Linked DNA regions of Stegostoma tigrinum. The protein of the gene in region 2 interacts with the protein of the main gene of each other region in a pairwise test. Links are inferred from orthologs where the notes say so. Each region holds a gene or a part of one and is shown on either strand. Other genes may lie near its edges.

Region 1 (10,298 bases), on a different chromosome or scaffold from region 2:
AGCTTCTTAACATCTGTCACCTGAACCTATCAATGGTATCTTAACCAGCATTAGGAACAGTCCAATGGCAAAGTCCTCTGACCTGCCTTCCCCAGTCAGCACTAGGTAGCCAAAGACCGAGAAGCATGAGGGTATATGCCACTCAAAATTGAATAGCTGCCACTTGATTCCAGTATTGTTGCTCTCAAACAAATCGATTAGGGGTGAGACTAGTCCTAGTACTCAAAACTGCAGCAGTAGTTAGCAAGTTTCAAGAACCATAGTCTTTGTAGAAACTAGAACCTTCAGTCCCTTGTTATCCCATGGAGAGTGTTGAAAGAAATTAATGACTGGCATCTAAGCTGCTGGGGTGCTGAGAGAAGCAGAAATCACATTCGGTGGTTCTGGCTGAAGATGGCAGCAAATACATCAGCCTGAGCTTATGCACTGATGTACTGGGCTCTTCCATCATTGAGAATGGAGATATTTGTGGAGTTTCCTTCACTGGTTAATTATTTCATCAACATTCACAACTGCATGGAGCTAGACTGAGATCTTTCATCAGAATCATCGTGAGAAATCTTAGTTCTGTCTATTGCATGCAGCTTAGAAGTAGGAATAGGCCATTCTGCACCAGCCTTCAATACGATCAGTGTTGGTACAATTTCCACATTCTTGTCTACCCTCTGACAATTTTTGTCTCCCTTCCTAGTCAAGGAAATATTCATATATCTTATTTCCACTCATCTCTACAGAAAACAGAATTCCAAGGTTCATGACCTTCAGGGAAAAAGATTTCGCCCTATCTCAGTCTTAAAAATGGGAGAACACGATGTTAAATGCCCCACATCTCTATTTAAATAATTTTACAACAGAGTGCGCTTCATATGTGGAATGAACTTCCAGTGGAAGTAGTCAATACAAATGTTGGTACATTTATAAAACATTTCGATAAGTACACGAATAAGAAATGTTTGACGGAATATGGGCCAATGCAGGCAGTTGGGAGGACTAGTTTAGTTTGGGGCAATGATCGATATGAACTGGTTGGATTGAACGGTCTGTTTCCATGCTCTATGACTCTATAATATGCTTCTGTTCTCTTCTTTCTGGGAAAGTGGACAAGTTCATAGTTCCTTAAATTATACCTCATCCGTCATTCCCCCCCTCATTTAACCTATATATATCCCTTTGTAGGATCCTAATTTCCTCCTCTCAACTTACCTTCCTGCCTTTGTGTCATCAGCAAGTTTAGCTACTGTATATTTGGATCCTTCACATAAATCAGAGAAGTTTTCAAAGCTGAGGCCCCAGCGCCATTCCCTGTGGCACTCAACTTGTCATATCTTGCCATATTGAAAATTACCCATCTATCCCTAATGTTTCCTCTTGGCAAACCAATCTTCCATCTATGCTAACGTGTTGCCCCATATAACATGATATCTAACTTTGCAGAGTAATCTCTGATATGCCACCTTCTCAAATGCTTTCCAGAAATCTAAGTCTTATTATACATCCACAGGTTCCCCTTTATCTACATCATAGTCCTGGTACATGACTTTCTGAAAGAATGCCAACAAGCAATAAATTAGTTAAACATGATTTCTTTTGCACAAAATCATACTGATTCTTCCAGAATGAATTGGGAGTTTTGAAGTCGCTCGCTATAAGCTTCTTAATAACTGCTTCCAACATTTTCCCTGAGTGGTATATATATTCTGGCTTTCTGTCTTCATTGTTCCTTCATGTTTGCTATTTTCCAACATGCTGAGACCTCAAGTAGATGCTTTCGTCTCAGCCAGTACGTTGCAGAAAGGCAGACCTTAAAAGGTTAATCAATTCAAGACACAGATGAAATACTAGTCTATCCATCAATAGTACAAATATTCAATCACATCAAGGTTGCAAAAGCCTATTATTTAGTGCATTTCACATCCCCTAAGGAAGAATCCACCATTAAAGTGTATAACTGTGTTGCTTTTCATCATGACAATCTTCCTAACAAAATAATCATCAGCACAAGACCTCGTCTCAAGTTATGGAACCAACATATCCAACACACAATCCACAGTTATAATTGAAACAAATTCTCCCAGGGAAATTGAGAAACTTAAATTGCAAAATAGGCATAAAAGCACATGCTACGTTAACAGATCTGCTCTCATTGATTTGTTACCTCCACAGGCATTTCACGCTAACTAGTAACTACTACAAACAAATTCTCAATGCAATTTAATATTTCAATAAAACATATCAAAATATATCAAATAATCTCAGGTTTATTACGACACTTACAACATTTGATGTCAGCCTCAATTTTTCAGATTTTTCTTAACTATGTTTAAGTCCGGATAAACAATTACCGCCCACACAACTGGGTTATTTCTCCTTCCAATAGCATGAACGTATCATAACGAGGGGCGAGAGCCAACTTATAGTCGGAAGATGCATTTAATTTCCCAGTACACACTCTAAGGGTACATATTCACAATACTGACCAAAAATGGTGTATTTCTAGCAATTTCCATTTACAATAAAAAACAAATTTGCATCGTCTTTCTTTTCAATTTTAACTCTTCAGTTTTGTAAATTGCAAAGTAACAGTACCATAGAAGTGTCAATGTACTGCACTCCATCGCCAATAGCAATGAAATAGGCACCGTTGAGAAATTGCTGAGCACAAAACAAAATCTGAAATCACAAGGCAAATCAAAACGAAGCTAAATGGTGGTCAGGCAAACATGCCCCAGAATACTAATTTGACAAACAGGAAAGCATCCGATCTGACTGGGTCGCTGCAAGGGATCGGAAACAAAGAATAGGCAAACGAGCAGTCTGGAGCGGAGAGAGAGGTTGTTTGCTAAAAGGGTTTAGTGACCTATGGTGGATCCCTTCAACTCGGGGTTGAGTCAGCTTTGTACTGGGCGCCCTGTAATGCACGTTTAATTCCAAAGTCCTGTTATTTCAATATTCGAGGATCGAAAGTACTTATCCAACCATATCGCTCATAATGTGCGCCGCAACATGTGAATTAAAGTAATTAAATCCAGTACCGCGGTCACTTCCGCCAATTTCTGCAAAACTGTTTTTCGATGTTGCAAACTCGTTGTTGATCACAAGTTTGAGCTTAGGCAGCGTCCGATGGACTCTCAGTAACGCCAGTTGTGACAGTTTTACAGAGCAGACCAAACACCTCAAATTAAGGGTCGAGTTACACTAGTGGCAAACCACCTACTTTACTAAAATAGTCTGATTTGCATTGAAAGCTACCGACATGGTAATGGAGATAATGGGAACTGCAGATGCTGGAGATTCATGGTAATAATCGCTCAACACTTCATCGGCCGTCGCCTCACTGCTTTACATAAAGCCACAGCACGACGTACAGAAAATGTTAACGCAGTAAACAGAAACTGACAACTCCGAAAGTTGTGCTGAGGTCGTAGTCTGGCCCCCGCCCGGTGGGGAACTTTGAGCTCGAGACAAGATTGAAACCGATGCACCCAAACTACCTTGGTGCAAGCGGCCTGGGTACAACTTTACCAGGAGCTTTTTCTTTTGTTTTAAAAGTGGAAATCAATGGAACGAGCAGTCTCAGAAAGTTGCAGATGTGACTCCCACGAGTTCTCCGATGAGTTTCAGACCCGATCGCTCTAACACCACCCCCCAAAAAAATAACAAACTATCTGTCTCCTCTGGGGAGCTCCCGGTGACGGTGCTTACCTTCCCACAGTCTGGTTGGCGAGCTGCCGCATCCGATTAAACTGCTTCTTCATGGTTTCTCCCGGGCCGGCTAGCTTGGAAGTTTCGCCCTGAAGAGTAGATTTTTACAGCGAGTGTGTCCAGGCCGCTGGGCACATCCTGGGGCCGTCCGTGCGCGGACACTCGCGCTTTCCCTCTTCGCCCAGCGCCAAACACCCGCAGCTGTCCCGAGGCTGTGCAAACGCCCCCCTCACCCCTTCCCCTGTGTCCTCCCCGGCTCCCGGTAAGCCCTCTCTCACCCCGACTCTGTCTCCACCGGGATGCTCTGAACCGCCCAGCTCACAACAAGGTTGCACCGCCACCCAACTCAGGGCCAACCGGAAGCGCCTCTACCTCCCACTTCCGTTACTAAGGGAGGGGAGGGGGCGGAGGCAACAACAACAACAACAGAAGCAGTAAACCGGGCGAAGACGGTCGGGGGTTTCATTGTCACTCCTGGAGTTCAAAGCTCCCAGTCCACATTTGTCTCACTAACGAGCCAAGAGGCCACCCATTGTTCTGAACTCTCACAAGAATATGGAGAAGATCGTGTGTAAATGCATTTTCTTTTTCATCTTTTAATAAGTCAGACCTGCAACTCGTGAAAATCAGAGCACTCCAAATGTAAAAGTGAAAGTTCAAAGAGTAAGCCAGAAACTGCCTGTGTCAACACACCTCTGTATCCCACACCTGAATATGACCTCGAATGTACTTGCCTGACTGACAAGACACTGTATTTGTCTGAGTTTCGGGTTTTCTTTAAGTCTTTTGGATGTTTCAGAATTCTTTCTTTCCCAAGAAAATCTGCATGTGTTTATTGCTATACCAGAAACAACCATCTCCAAGCATTCAGTTACTTCCCAAAAACAAACCCTTTATATCACTTCGTTGCTGAGATTAAAAAAAAACTTTGGACATTATGAACCATTCTAACTATTCCAGCTGAAGATTTTAAATATAACAATAAGAATACCTTCTGGTGTAAACAACCATATTATCCTGGTAAGTGGAAGCATCCTCATGTTTCAGCCAGAAGGTTATTAGATCACACTCTGATTCTTGGAATTCAGCAGCATATTGATAGGGAAATAGACAACTCAGGGCCAGCTTAATTGCCTTCTTTCAAATTAAACATTAAACTGTGATCCCATTTGTCTTTTTAAGTGAGTATAAAGGGTCCATTGATACTTTTTCAAAAAAAGGTCAGGGAATTCTCATAATGACTATACAAATGGCCAATGTTTGTTCTTCAATCACCATTCCCAAAAAAAACATCATTTAGTCATTCAAAAGTACTCTTTCATTGCTGATCTGGTTGTGGTCTCAACTCCACTTTACTGTTTACCTCTCATAACCCTTGATTTCCTTGTCTGTCAGAAGTTCTATCTAATTCAGCCTTGAGTAAGTTCGATGATCCAAACTCTACTGCTTTTAGAGGAAGAGAATTCCACATAATGATCTTCAGAGAGAAAAAGGGTAATTCATCATATTGCTCTTGTCAAGATTTATTTGGCATATTTCAGTTGTCATCTTTGCTTCATGGCAGTAAAAGCAAATTTTTTTTAAAAATTGTTAGCTGCGAAGACTTTGAAATATTCTAGATCATAAAAGGCACCACTCAAGCAAAAGGTTCTTCCATGGAATGCATCCTATCTATGCATCTAAAGAGTTTCGATGACCTTTCTACGTTGATAGGCATGGGAAAGGACAAAGCACGATATCTATCCTATGCAGATGAAGCATTTATCTATACATCAGATTCCTTCACTTCAGTTTCCAATTTCAATAATTGTGTTAGTGTATTTGGAGCTCACTTAATGTACAAAATAAAACACACACAAACAGGGGCAATGTCAGTTATTGTTCAGTGTTCTCCAACTATTCTACTTAAAAGGGTCTTTAACAGATTTTATATTTCCTCAGGGTTAAGTTAATGCACACATGCCAAAACCTCAAGAAAGGCCAGTTTTCAGCATTGATGGCTTGCTGGACATCATCAATAACCATATGAATGTTAGTTAATGTACAAATCTCTGTGTTAATATTTTGAAAGAAATAAATTTTATTGTTTTTACACATTCATAAAAATTGGAATTCCAAAAGACCTGTCATTGGTCAATCCTCTTCCTTGGTGAGACCACACCTGGAATATTGTGTATAATTTTGGTATCCTTTTCTGAGGAAGGATGCTCTTGCTCTTGAGGGAGTGCAGCAAAGGTTTACCAAGCTGATTCCAGGGTTGGCGGGTCTGATGTACGAGGAGAGATTGACTAGGTTGGGATTGTTTTTGCTAGAGTTCAGATGAATGAGGGGATCTCATAGAGACTTATAACATTCTAACAGGACTGGACAGGGTAGATGCATGGAGGATGTTCCCAATGGTAGGTGCATCCAGAACCAGGGGTCAGAGTATGAGGATTCAGGGTAGACAATTTAGGATGGAGACGAGGAGGCATTTCTTCACCCAAGGAGCGGTGACCCTGTGGAATTCATTACAGGAAGTAGTTGATGACAAAACTTTGAATGTGTTAAAGAGGCAACCAAATATAGCTATTGGGGCGAATAAGATTAAAGGTTATGGGGAGAAAGCAGGATTAGGCCGTTGAGTTGGATGATCAACCATAATCATGAAGAATTGCGGAGCAGGCTAGAAGGGCTGAGTAGCCTCCTCCTGCTCCTATCTTCTGTGTTAAATGATGAAATTTGCCTTTTCTGCCATCTGGTGTTACTAAATGGTAGCACATAGAATTATGACTGAAATTCCAGAGTACAAGTTGTTCCGAGCCTGTTAAAACAGTTTTCAGCCACACTCTGGTCACCAAGGAAAATGACATCGTTGACTGTACTCAGTAGTATATGTAACATGAACACTGATTTGTAACAAGCCAAGATCACATGATCAAAGGGCGTGTGTTAAAACCCCTGTTCCCGGCATTTATAAATAACCTATGTATACAATCTCAATCCATGTCGGTATAAATGGCAGGTGACACCAAGAGATTGAAAGTGATAGCGATGGTTCAAGGGAAGTTCATATTTTATAAAATTCTTGGTCCTGTAGCTACTCCTAACAAGAGATAGTACGTAACACTCCTCTGTCTTGTGCCACCCTCATATATCCACTTCAGCCATTTTCTGACGTTTGGCTTCCAACTATATGTAGGTCAATGCTTTTTTACTGCCCTGTACTTTGCCCTCTTAAAGAGATTGTGGTAGTTTTTTGGATTCAATAAAATGGCAAAGATATGTGCATTTCCATTAATGGAGTTCTGTTTAGCTCTTGCAATTTCAAGAACTTCATTTGCCTTAGGATTTATATAGGGAATTTTAAACATGGCTTGGTGTCCACATTTCAAAGGCCTCAACTTTCTTCGACAGATCTTTTACGTATTGTCCGGTGTCTGCGTGGTCCACTGGTAATGTCACTGGACAAGCAATCCAAAAACCCAGGCTAATAGTCTGGAATAGCTATTCACATCCCATTAAGTCATAGAGCCATAGAGATATACAGCACAGAAACAGACCCTTTGGTCCAACTTGTCTATGCTGACCAGATATCCTATACAAATCCAATCCCATTTGCCAGTATTTGGCCCATATGCCTCTAAACCCTTCTTATTCATATACCCACCCAGATGCCTTTTAAATGTAGTAATCATACCAGCTTCCATCACTTCCTCTGGCAGATCATTATGTACACGCGCCACCCTCTGTGAAAATGTTGCTCCTTAGGTCCGTTTTACATCTTTATCTTCTCACTTTAAACTTATGCCCTCTGGTTTTAGATTCTCCCACCCTGGGGAAAAGACCTTGTCTAGTTACCCTATCCATGCCCTTCATGATTTCATAGATCTCTGTAAAGGTGACCCCTCAGCCTCCAAAACTCCACAATTGTGTTATAGCAGAACCATCTGTAGCCCCACTGTACTCAGCCTCTCCCTATGGCTAAAATCCTCCAACCTTGGCAACATGCTTGTGAATCACAACATCCTTCCTATAAGAGGCAGATCAATACTTCATGCAATACTCCAAAAATGGCCGAACCAATGTCCTGTACAGCCACAACATGACATTCCAACTCCTATACTCACTGCACAGACTAATAAAGGCAAGTATACCAAAGCACAGCTGAATTTAAATTCAGTCCTTAACCTGAATATGAAGCCTGCAGCAGTTAGGTGACCATGAAACCATTGTTGTAAAAGCCCAGCTGTTTCACTCATGTCTTTTAGGAAAGGAAGTCTCCCATCATCACCTGGTCTGGCCTTTTAGTGATCATCCCAACTGGATTCTGTAGTTTCAGAGATAGTAGGAACCGCAGATGCGGGAGAATCTTAGATAACAAAGTGTAGAGCTGGATGATCGGAGCAGGAAGACCTGCTGTGTTCATCCAGCTCTACACTTTGTTATCTTGGATTCTGTAGTGATTGGGACAAGGTTGACCTCATTAACTATGAGATTCTTGATTGGGGTTGTTAACCTGGACCAATTAGGAATGCCTTAACCAACCAATAAAACCAGGAGATTAGAGTCTCCCTAGTTGAGGTTTGACTCTGAGCTGGCTGATTGTTGCCAGTGTACTGTGCACAAGTAAATAAAGGGTGACTTTATTTCATGTACACACATGACTGACCTTTAAATGCTATCTGAAATGATCTAGTATGCCACTCAGTGTCAAACCAAAAGGATAGGGCTGAGAGGAATGAAAATTGAAACAGACAAATCAGCCTGAGCACTAGAATCAACAATTGAACACCCAGCCCTGCCTGGCCTGCAAAGTTCTCCTTTACCAATATTCCAGAACTTGTGCCAAATTTGAGAGAGCTGACCCACAGACTAATCAAGCAACAGCCTGCCAAGCCCATGACTTCTACTATCTAAAAGGACAGGGACAATGAATTCATAAGAACACCACCAACTCAAAGTTCCCCTCCAGGCTATACAGCCCCTGGCCTGGAAGTATACTGCCATTCCTTCACTGTAACTGGATCAAAATGCTAGAAATCCTTTTGTAACAGCACAATGGGTGTATCTACCTTGCATGGACTGCTGCAGGCCCAGAAGTTGGCTCATCACCACCTTCTCAAGTACGATTAGGAATCAGCCTTAAATGGCAGCCTAGCCAGTGACTCCCACATCTCTTGAAAGAAGTTAGAAGAAGTACCTCTAATATAATAAAAAAAAGCATCCCATGTCACTTTGTGATGAATCATGAAATGCTTGAATGGTTACAGCTCAGGAGTCTATTTGACCTGTCATTCCATTCCTGCTATCTATAAGTGCTGCAGTTAATCCCAATCTCCTGCACTTTATTTGTATCCCCACAAATGTTTCCTCTTTAGATAATTAGTCATTTGAAAGTCTTGACTGAATCTGCCTCTACTACATTGTAAGGCAGTGCATTCCAAATCCTAACCACTCACCAAATTAAGACATGTTCTTTGGTGCTGTCATTGCTTCTTTGGCCAATTACCTCAAATTGGTGTCCTCTACTTCTCAACCCTTTTGTCAATAAGGACATTTGTTCCCTATCTGGTCTGATTTTAAATATGAAAAAAAAATCCAGCTTCACCAATTTATCCATGTAACTGAAGTTTCTCAAATCTGAAATCATTCTGGTAAAATCTTTTCTACACTCTCTCCAATGCCTTTACATCTATACTATGTATGAGAAGAGATGAGCATCCAGCATTGGAGATAGTATACAAGGAGTCCCCAAATTACCAACTTTCAACTTATCAGCTCTCGTACTTACGAACAAGATCAAATACAATGGTGTATTAATTGTAACTTTAAAGATGCCATAGAACAGAACACAACATTTTTGTTGAAGTAAAACTGGTGTTTTGTAAATATTTACTCTAACTTTCTTACTTTTGCATTCTACATCTTCATTTATAAAGCACAGGTTCCCAAATATCTTCTTAATTGCTTTCTTTACGCACCTGGCTACATTAAACAAATTTTGCAAATACACCCAGAGGCCCCTGTGCTTCTTCATCTGCTACAGAATTGTATCTTTTAGGGGTTTTTTTATATTACGTCTCCTCATTCATTCTAATATACTCCTTTACATTTCTCTGAATTAAGGTTTCTCTGCCATACATCACCATTGCACAGCTTGTCCATACCCACTTGAAGTTTATCACACAGTTCACAATTCTTTCAAGTTTTTGTCACCTGCAAATTTTGAAATTGTGACCTACACATACATGTTTCATACAAAACAAGAAAAATAATGGCACTAATAGCAACTCTTGAGGAATCCCACAATTTACCTCTACCCAGTCCAAAAAACAACCACTCACCACTAATCTCTCTTTCTTGTCACTCAACCAATTTTATGATGTTGCTGTCCTTTCAGGCAATCTGCTCCAGCTTCGCTGATAAGTCTGTTAAGTGGCACTTATTCAATACTCTTTCGAAGTCCATGTACACCATATTAACCACATTACCCTCATCAACATTTTGCTGGATTAAACTGTAGATGATGAACTTATCCTTACAGTATATCTTCTTTCAAATAAGGATTTAAACACTTGCAATTCTCCAGTCCTCAGGCAGGATTCCTGTATTTT
Region 2 (11,087 bases):
ACAGGTTAAGGGGGCATGAGGCTAGCAGTTAGGTTGTGGGGGTGGGGGTCGGTCAGTGAGGTGTGAGGAGTGGATAGGTGGGAGAAAAGATGGACAGGTCAAGGAGGCAGGGGCGAGATGAGCTGATCTTGGGATGAGGTCGGGGGGTGGGGAGATTTTGACGCTTGTAAAGTCCACATTGAGACCATTGGGATGCAGGGTTCCCAAGTGGAAAATGAGGTGCTGTTCCTTCCACTTGGAGTGGCATCATTGTGGCACTGGAGGAGGCCCAGGATGGACATGTCATCCAAGGAGCGGGAGAGGGAGCTGAAGTGGTTCACGACTGGGAGGTGTTGTCTTTTGTCACAAACCGAGAGTACGTGCTCCACAAGCAGTCTCTGAGCCTGCACTTGGTTTCCCCGATGAAGAGGAGGCCACATCGGGAACAGCGGATACAATATACCACATTAGCGGGTGTGCAGGTGAACATTTGTTTAATGTGGAACGTTTTCTTGGGGCCTGGGATGGGGGTGATGGGGGAAGTGTAGGGGCAGGTGTAGAAGTGAACATGATTGATTTGGATTTCCAGAGGCCTTTGACAATGTGCCACACAGGAGGCTGCAAAGTAAGATAAAAGCCCCATTGCGTTACGGGCAAGGTACTGGCATTGATAGAGGATTGGCTGACTGGCAGAAGGTAGAGAGAGGGGATAAAGGGATCTTTCTCAGGATGGCAGCTGGTGAAGAGTGGAGCTTTGCAGGGGTCAGCGTTGGGACCACAACTATTTACAGTATACATTAACGATCTGGACAAAGGAACTGAGAGCATTGTTGCTAAGTTTGCTGATGACACACTGATAAGAGACGGGTAGTGTTGAGGAAATAGGGAGACAGCAGAAGGACTTTTTCAGGAGAGTGGGCAAAGAAGTGGCAGAGGGAATATAATGTGAAGAAGTATGATGTTAGGTATAAATTGGGAAAGTATGAGGTATTTTACTTTGGTAGGAAGAATACAGGCAGAGACTATTTTCCAAAAGGATACAGACTTTAGAAATCTGAAGAACTAAGTGAATTAGGAATCCCAGTTCAAGGTTCCCTTAAGATTAACATGCAGGTTCAGTAGGCAGTTACAAAAGCAAATGCAAGGTTTACATTCATTTCAAGGGGGTTAGAACACAAGGACAAGGCTGAATAAGGCACTGATCAGACTGCATTTGGAATATTGTGAGCAGTTTTGGACCATACATCTAAGGAAAGATGTACTGGCATTGGAGGGGGTCCAGAGGAGGTTTACCAGAATGATGCCAGGGATGAAGGGTTTGTCATATGAGGAGTGATTGAGGACACTTGGCCTATAGTCAGTGGAGTTTAGAAGAATGAGAGGTGATCTCATTGAAACATACTGAATACTGAGAGATTTGCATGGAGTTGCCATGGAGAAAATGTTGCCGCTAGTAGTAGATACTAGAACCCGAGGACATAGCTTCACAACGAAGGGACAACCCTTCAGAATTGAGATGAGGAGGAATTTCTTCAGCCAGAGGGTGATGAATCTGTGGAACTTATTACCCACAGTGTACTAAGTTATTAAGTGTATTTAAGACAGTGATAAACAGGTTCTTGAGTAGTAAACAAATTGAAGGTTATGGGGAGATGGCAGGAGAATGCAGCTCAAAAACATATCAGGCATGATCAAATGGTGGAGCAGGCTTGATGGGCCAAATGGCTTCATTTCACTCTTCTGTCTTATGGTTTTATAGTATCTGCCCCAGCTTATCCAGTTCCCGCTTAAAGATATGCAGAGTCAGCACCACTGCACTCACTAGACACACTTTCGGTATCAGGCTGACTATCATTGATGAATTTGTACAGGGCAGTGAGTGTGCGCACAGGGATATTGTGAGTGTCTTCCTCCCCCAAACATATAAGAGGTCTGTACAAAACCGTTGCAAAAATGTTTAACATGTCTGCACATGTCAAAGAAATTCTTTGTGGAATTATGGCCGCACAGGTGTGAGGTTATCTGTTCCAGTCATAGGGTCATAAAGATATACAACACAGGAACAGGCCATTTAGTCCAACTTGTCCATGCTGACGAGATATCGCTTATACAGACTATACCTCTCAATGATACTTTGGTTGACCTTTATAAACCACTCCTAACCCACACTGAACATTTAAGAGAAAAGTCATTGTAGGATTTCTACCACACAGAGGGCAATAGAATCAAATCAGCCCCGCTTTAAGGTTAAGAAAATATATTCTATCTGACCTACCCAATATTCTTCATTGCTAATAAAAATTGGAATGCCACTGATTAGATTAAACTGAGAACTGGCATATTGGTTACAACTGATAACAATAGATGTTTGCTCTCACATAATGCACAAAACACAGTTTAAAGTCTGCAACGCTGGGATCTGAGGATATGTTCTCAAACAAGATTCCTACTGTTTTCTCTGCATATTTGACGCTTGATCACTATGAGTAAAACTGTATCTGGTCATTTATCTCAGACTGACTTATGGGAGCTTGCTGTGTACAAATTGATGACCACAATGATCACGTTTCAAACATACAATGCCATAGTGAATGACTTCAGGGTGGCCTGATGTTACAAATACGACATGGGTGCCATTTATTTTACGGAAAGTATCAAAAAGAATCTGGTGCCACCAGCAGGAGGATCAATATTCAGAGGATCCAGTTTTCAGATAACTGAAAAAACATGCAGAAGGCATATGAGACTTTTATTTTACTGCAGTCTGTCATCATGAAATGGGATGGACAAGCTTGAAAAGGTTGTGGAAGCAGATCCAATGGTGACTTTCTAGAGGGACCATAAAACGCAGGGGCAGAAGTAGGCCAATTCGCCCATCGAATCTGCTCTGCTGTTTGATGAGATAAAAGCTGATCTGATCATCCTAAACTCCAAATTAAAAATCTGCCTTTCTCAGCCTTCAATATACTTAGTGACTCAGCCTCAACAGCCTTCTGTGGTAAATAATTCCACAGATTAGTGAGCCCTTGTGAGAAAAAAATTCCTCCTCATCTCTGTTTTAAATGTGCAACTTTTCTCTTGGACGATGCCCTCTGGTCTTAGACTCTCTCCCAAGAGGAAAGGGGGCAGCATGGTGGCTCAGCAGTTAGCCCTGCTGCCACACAGCACCAGGCACCTTGGTTCAATTCCAGCCTCAGGCAACTGTCTGTGTGGAGTTTGCACATTCTCTCCACGTCTGCATCTTTCCTCTATGTGCTCCGGTTTCCTCCCACAGTCCAAAGGTATGCAGGTTAGGGTGGATTGGCCAGGCTAAATTGCCAATAGTGTCCATGGATAAGTTGATTAAATAGGTTTAGGGAATGGGTCTGGGTGGGATGCCCTAAGGACTTGTTGGGCCAAAGGGCCTGTTTCCACACTGGATGGATTCTATGGAATAATCAAACAACTTTTTCATATCTACCCCACCAAGACCCTTAAGAATCTTTTATGTTTTAATTAGGTCTCTTTTTGTCTTTCTAAACCCCAACGGATATAAACACAACCTCCTCATAACAAAATTCCATCATTCCAAGTGAACCTTCTCTGTATGACTCCAACGCTAGTAAAGCTTTCCTTAGCTAAGGGTACTAAAGTTGTTCACAGTATTTCAGATGTGGTCTGATTAATGCCTTGTATAGTTTTAGCAAGACTTCCCCTATCTTTATACTTTATCCCTTTCAAATACAGGTCAACAGTCCATTTGACATCTCTATTACCTGATAAATCTTGGTTCGAGCATTTTGTGATTCAATCACAAAGGAACACAAGGTAGAAATTTGCAGGGCTTTTGGGCATTCTCAAAGCCAATGGAAGTAACAGAACATATCATTCCCTCCTGAAGCCCTCAGTACTTCTCCAAAGGATACACTGCAGAGTTTTGACATGCACCGGTTCTGTTGAGAACCAAAATTAGTTGCAGTAAATCTTGGCTTCTTCCCTCACACGTTCTCACCAAACTTGGTGCCACCAGAATGCTCACTCTCGGTCTGCATTTACCCGTCCCAACCCCGGGCCATCTTCTGTTCTCCACATCCTTCCTGAAATTCCCTGATCTTGCCCAAAACCACCTGTGTGAATCTCTGTCCATTTGCCGACTGCTTTCATTCAAATAAATGTAGAGAAATTATCTCTAAACCTGTCAGCTGAGGAACAAAAATACATCCAGTTTTCATTCATCAACTGCCTTGTAGATTATTAGGTTGGTGGGGGGGGGAAGAGGTAAGGTCAGTTAACCGGATGGTTTGCAATCCAGAGCGATGCCAACAGTATGGGTTCAATTCCTGCACCAGCTAGGATTAGCATAACAGATTTTCCTTCTCACCCTCTCCCCTGACCTGAGGGTGCAGTGACCCTCATGTTAAACCACTATCAGTTATCTCTCTCCAATGAGACAGCAGCCCTATGGTCCAATAGGACTGTAACAACTTTACCATTACACGTGAAAATGCCACTAGGGCATTAGCTCCTCTTAAGCCGTGCAGTCTCCAGGCCAGATGAAGCCGCAATAATTTCTTTCCCCCTTTATTCATTCACAGGATGAGGGCACTGCTGACTAGACAGCATTTAGTCCTCACAGTCAACCACATGGCGATGGGTCTGGACCCACATGTAGGCCAGACCAGTTAAGAACAGTAAAACGAATTTGCTGAAGTGGCTCAGCAGGTCTGGCAGCATCTGTGAAAGAAAAAAACAAGTTCATGGTTCGGGTCTGGTGATCCTTCCTCAGAAAATGTTAAGAATAGCAGTTTCTTTCCCTGAAGGGCATTAGTGAACCAGACAGGGTTTTTCCCCAACAACAAGTTCATGGTCATTATTAGATTCTTAATTCTAGAGATTCTATTGAATTCAAATTCCACCAGCTGCTGTGGCAGGATTCAAACCTGGGTCAGTAGGATGTTATCTGGCTCTTTGGATTACCACTCTAGCAATAATACCATTAGGCCATTGTCTCCTCTTAATATTTCTGAAGTGAAGCTGAATTTTCCTTACCGCACCAGACCATGTAAACATTAACTCAATGAGATCAAGAAGTAAAATACTGCAGTTGCTCGAAATCTGAAATAAATACAAAGAGTGATGGAGAAACTCAGTGGGTTTGGCAGCATCACTGTCTCTGATTTGACTCTTTTGGAGAAGATTCACACCAAGCTCAGAATATTGACTCTGTTTCTCTCTCCACAGATGCTGCCAGAGACCAAAAGTACTATAATAAAACAAAGGAGCATGAACGGTGAAGATCTGAAATGAAATTAGAAATTGCTGGAGAAACTCAGCAGGTCTGGCAGTATCTGTGAACAGATCTCAGTGTCTCTGGTTTGACATACTGGACTCAAAACCATTAACTCTGTTTTCTCTCTCTACAGGAGCTGCCAGGCCTGCTGAGTTTCTCCAGCGATTCCTGTTTTTGACCAAGAATACTATACTTTGCCCCTTTAACAGTGCTAGCCTGCACACCTAGCTGTAGGCTATGTGCGGTGAGGGTGCTTGCTGTGTTTTCTAAACTGCAGCAGTATAGTGTAGTAAGGGAGCAAATTACTGCAGAAGCTGGAATCTCTACTGAAAACAACAAATGCTGGAGATCTCAACAGGTCAAGTAGCAAGCTAACGTGATGAGTATGGATGACTCTTCATTAGAGCTTAAGATGCTCTGATGAAATGTCATCTAGACTCGAAACATTAGTTTTTCTGGTAATTACCCTTCTTCAGAATACCCAAAACGTTGACTGCTCCTTTCCTCCAGATGCTGCCTGGCCTGCTGTCTTCTTCCAGCCTCCAGTTCACCTACTTTGGATTCCAGCATCTGCAGTTCTTTTTGTCTCGAAACGTTAGCTTGCCGCCTCTCCTGAATGCTGTTTGGCTGTGATTTGTTGTTTCTCAATGTGATGGTGTTCCCTTTAACAGCACCAGCTATGTACGCCTTGCTGCAGAGTGAGTGCAGACAGGGTGCTTGCTATCAGAGATAATGGGGACTGCAGATGCTGGAGAATCCAAGATAATAAAGTGTGAAGCTGGATGAACACAGCAGGCCCAGCAGCATCTCAGGAGCACAAAAGCTGACGTTTCGGGCCTAGACCCTTCATCCTCTGATGACCTAGACCCTCTGATGAAGGGTCTAGGCCCGAAACGTCAGCTTTCGTGCTCCTGAGATGCTGCTGGGCCTGCTGTGTTCACCCAGCTTCACACTATTATCTAGGGTGCTTGCTATGTTTTGTAAAAGAGCAGTATGCATTGTAGTGGGGGTGTTCCCTTTAACAAAACCAGTCATACACACCTTGCTGCAGACTGAGCGCTTGCTATGTTCTGCAAAACTGCAGTGAGGCGCCGTTGAGCTTTTACAGAGGCGGAGTGGTGACGCGGGATTGCGCAGCGCAGGGAAAGTCGTGGCTCAGAATTAACCAGGGGCTGGAGAAATGTTTACACTTTGAAGGATGCCAGGCACCTCATTCATATAGAGAGGAGTTTCTGCAATCAAATTCCAAATAGAACAAGAGACGGGACCAAGTGAGAGGAGAAAGAAATTAACATAGAGTCTGCTGATCAATTCTCTCGTTTGTTTCTTCCCAGCCTGAATTAAAGGCGAAGTTAAAAATCATGGAGTGGGGTTCGGAGCTTTGGGTGAGTGTTACTTTTTAAAAGATATAACCTGAGAGATCCTGGAGATGCTGATGGCGGGGATTTTTTTTATTAAAAAAGACGCTAGTCGTGTTGTATTTGGGAAGAATGAAAAAAAGCGAGCGTTTCCGATTCACTTCCATTGAGAAACGAGCTGAGAAAGTCCTTTTCTTTTAGCAATTTTCCCAATTATCTTCTTTAAAAGTTGTAAGAAAAGTTTTTCTTCGCTGCTATCTCGTGTGTGCTGGTGCTTCTGTTGCAGCGAAGGGAAAAATGTATTTTAGTCTTTCCTTGCCAGGATAGAAAGGGTTAGCTCTCTCTGTTCTCTGTGTTGTTTCAGGATTTGGCTCTTTTTAAGTTGGGAGCGATCGAGTTTCCAAACTTCTCCCAAGTGCATGTTTGTTGGGGGCGGGGGTTGGTGAAGAGCAGGAAATGCCCCCTCAGTCCTCTGGCCACCCTCCCTCCCTCCCCAGGCCAGTTTGTTTTTGTTTAAATGCTATGTCCCATTATCAATGTCTCAGTGTCCGTTTTGTTTGCTGTTAACTAATGTGAGAAACACACACACACGTATTTTGCAATTTCTTCCAAACAAAAAGAAACGATTTGTGTTTAAAGCCCCCCCACCCCCCCCCCCCCCCCCCCCCGCGTTACACAGGCGCTTCCCAGTCCTCACGGATGAATGGGACATTGAATAGTTACAACTGCTGGATTTCGACGTTTCTGTCTGGTGGGGAGGGGGGAAGTGTTGGTCCTTACAATTTTCTCCGAGCCCAGTTTCTCTCCTGCAGAGCTTTGCGGGGAGAAACCGATAAAAAAAAACCTGTTTGTGTATGTGCGTTCCCTTTTTTTTGTACCCTCCTTGCTGTAATCCGCAGTGCAGGAGCTGAGAATAGCAATTGAGAGATGTATCTTTACTGAGGCTCACCTTGACCAACCCAGTTTTAACAGAACATTAATCAAGGCTGTTGCTGGGTGAGCTCAGGGTGGGGGGTGTTCTGAGAGCTTTGTATTTGGGTGTATCCGCTGAACCGGAGATACGTGCAATTGTTTCTCCCTGTAATCATAGCACAAAGAGAGCCCTTTCAGCCCGTCCTGCCTGCGCAAGCTCGTTTAAAATGGCTATCCATTTACTCACAGGCTGCTTCCCCCCCACCCCCCCCACTTGAGAAATCGCAGGACCAAATCCGTTGCAGAGGTTTCACTGGGATTTGTACTTTTTTGTCGTCATTGTTTTTGGTCAAATATCTGTATAGCAGACTTTAAGGGGGTGGGCGGGCGTGGGGTGTTTATTAATGTGTCTGTGTGTTGTCTTGCTCCTCTATCTGAAGGCATTGTCAGGTGGGCTACAGTTTCAGTAGGTAGTACATTGTATTTAGGGCATGATACAGGCCATTTGGCCCAACTTCCTTTGACCCTTTCACGGGATGAGAGCATTGCTGGCAAGACCAGGCCATCCCTAATAGTCCCGGAGAGGGTGTTGGCAAACTGCCTGTTTGAATGGTTGCGATCCATGGTGGTTTAGCACTGTTTGCTGGTGATGTCTCAGGGCTTTGACTCAGGAACAGTGAACGATGTGGCAGCAAATTAGTTCCAAATCAGGATTGTGAGAGATTTGGAGGGGAACTTGGTGGTGTTCCCATTTATCTACTGCCATTATGCTTTGAGGGGGTGGAGATTATGCTTTAGACGCTGCTGTCGAAGGAGCCTTGGTGACTTTCTGCAGTGCATCTTGTCGATAGTACACCCTGTTGCTACTGAGTATCGTTGGCGGAGGGAGCACGCTCTGGAGGTGTGGTGCCATTTAGGCAGTCTGCTTTGTCCTGGATGGTGTCGAGCTTCTTGAGTGTTGTTGGAGCTGCAGCCATCCTGGGAAGTCGGGAGTATCCCGTCACACTCCTGACTTGTGTCTCATCAGCTCTGAGGAGTCAGGAGATGAGTTACTCTTCACATGGTTCCCAGTCTCTGACCTGCTTTTCTAGCCGCAGTATTTAGATGAATGGTCCAGTTCAGTTTCAGGTCCATGATGACTTCCAGGTTATTTATAGTTGGGGAAGAAAGATGGATGTCAAGGGTGGTCGGTCAGTTATCCATTTTATCATTTGTTCACGGGATGTGGGTGTCCATCCCTCATTGTCCTTGGGCAGGTGATGGTGGACTGTCTTGAGCCACTGTTTTAGATAATAGTTGCTAGGCATTTGGGTGGCACAAATGTTATTTGCCATGTATCAGCCCAATCCTGACTGACCCATGTTTTGCCACATGCAAGCAATAGCTGTTCATGATTGGTATTTTCAATTCCTCCCACCCATTGATTTCTCCCTATCAACACCATTGTTTTCTCCTCCATGTCGTTTCTCTAATTTCTCTTTTAAATGTTACTTCCCTTAACTACTTCATGTGGTAAAGAGTTCCATTTTCTCATTACTCTATGTAAAGATATTTTGCCTGAATTCCCATTATTGGTGACTATCTCGTTTAGTTCCGGTGTACCCAATAAGAGGAAATACCTGTGAAGAGAAATCAGAGTTAACACTTCAGGTCAGGTGACCCTTCCTCAGAACTTCTGGGGACGGCTCACCGGACCCAGAGTGTTAACACAGATTTCTCATCACAGATGCTGCCAGACTGACTGAGCTTTCCCAGCAACTTCTGTTTTCTGCGTTCACAGTTCTTTTGGGCTTTTACTTGAAGGGAAATATCCACTCGCTGTCAATCCTACCAAAACTGAGCAAAATTTTAAAGACTTATAACAATTGTTCCTCTATTGTCTTTTTTTATAAAAAGGAATAATTCAATGTTCCCTGACAGGCTCTCAATTGTAGTAACCACCAGATCCAGTGTTCCCTTATCCTATTTATAATCTGAGGACCAGAACTGTTTGCAGTGCTCCAAGTTGTCTAACCCAAATTTAGTACAAGTTTAATGCTATACTCTGCTTTCAATTCAACCTGAGTTCCTAACTTTAGTGACTTGTATCCCTATATGACTAGATCCTTCTGTTTCCTGTTTAAATTCTTAATTACCAAAGTTTGTGTCTTCTTTATTCTTCCTATCAAAATGTATCACCTTGCATCATGTTAAAATTTATTTGCCATTACAGGGACAATCTGCAAATTTCTTAATGTGTTTCCACATTATCTTGTATTTCTCCTCCATATTAACTATTCTCCTCAGTTTTGGTTACGTCTGCACATTTTGAAATTGTGCTCCAGAATCTACATCGCTGATCCCTCTGGAATGCCACTTTCCATCTTTTGCCAGTAGCAGTCCTGTTATCCAGTGCTTCACTCCACATGTTGTCACAATGAGATGAGGAACGGTTGCAAAGAGAGAGGATTGATGGGTTTTGAGAGGGGAGGGGAGGGAGAGAGGATGGCCACCAGTTCTTGCCTCTGAGAGTTAACGTTGATGAATTCAGGTAAATGAATGTGTGATCTTGCACATAGGATTGGGAAAGATTGTTGAGCTCACTTGAGAAAGTCCACAGGATAACGTAAGGGCGATCACACAAACAGGCCTTGAAGGTTGAAATGGTCTATGTCAATCCTTTCGGTCTGCGTGAGTTTCCCCTCTCCCTTGTCCCCATACCCCTCAATTCCCGTCTCTCCCAATTAAACATCCAGTTAGTTCAGCTCTGGCTGTTTTGGTGCTGAACCAGCATATTCAGAAACTGCTGTTTTATTGATTATGGTTTAAAGTCTGTCAGTGACTGAGGCTCAAATGTTTTAGCTTTGATTAGTCAGTGAGTGCAGCACATTCTTTGGATGTGACAGAAGTCCTATCTCAATAGGACGCCATGTTCTGGGTTAGGGAGGGGAAACCAGTCTGGGAGCTTGCTGGTTAACAACACCCTGAAATGTAGTAGGTTGGATGTGAATCTGTGATGACCTGTTCAGTTGGTGAATCTACAAACTGTCAGAAATAACTTGCATTTATGTCCTTGACCTGTCTGTCTTTTCTCCCACCTCACTGACCAATCCCCACCACGATCTGCTTGCATTCACCTATCACCGTCCCACCTACCTGCCCCAGCCCATTCTCTCTCCATTTATTTATTTCAGAGCCCTCTTTCCCCTTCCCCAATTTCTGAAGAAGGGCCCTGACTCGAAACATCAGCTTTCCTGCTCCTCTGATGCTGCCTGGTCTGCTGTGTTCCTCCAGATCCACACTCTGTTGACTCAGACTCCAGCATTGGCAGTTCTTACTATTCCTTAGCATTTATGTAGCACCATCTATAACCACAGCACTTTACTGCTGATGAAGTACTTCGAGTGTAGTCATGGTTACAGCATAGGAAACCCACAGTCACTGCGCACCATGAGCTCCCACAAGCGGCAATATGATTAAAGCTGGATCATCTGTTTCAGTGATGTTAGTAAAGGGTGAACTCTGACCACTGGGCAGAATACTCACATGGGTGAAGCTTTTGTGGAGTCGAACACCCAGAGTGAGTACAT

Evidence for each region. The genes of interacting proteins can lie anywhere in the genome.
Region 1: the proteins of trip10a (region 2) and rho GTPase-activating protein 17-like interact in binary tests that used the Homo sapiens proteins (3 or more experiments, as listed by UniProt). The link is inferred for Stegostoma tigrinum from reciprocal best matches to the Homo sapiens genes TRIP10 and ARHGAP17.

The regions. Positions count from the first base shown.
Region 1 is NC_081376.1:21,183,519-21,193,816, forward strand, and holds the start of rho GTPase-activating protein 17-like, read right to left. Parts: upstream 4,075-10,298; 5' UTR 3,756-4,074; coding exon 3,703-3,755; intron 1-3,702. UniProt on the Homo sapiens protein: Rho GTPase-activating protein involved in the maintenance of tight junction by regulating the activity of CDC42, thereby playing a central role in apical polarity of epithelial cells.
Region 2 is NC_081388.1:18,475,501-18,486,587, reverse strand, and holds the start of trip10a (cdc42-interacting protein 4 homolog), read left to right. Parts: upstream 1-6,369; 5' UTR 6,370-6,609; coding exon 6,610-6,633; intron 6,634-11,087. UniProt on the Homo sapiens protein: Required for translocation of GLUT4 to the plasma membrane in response to insulin signaling. Required to coordinate membrane tubulation with reorganization of the actin cytoskeleton during endocytosis.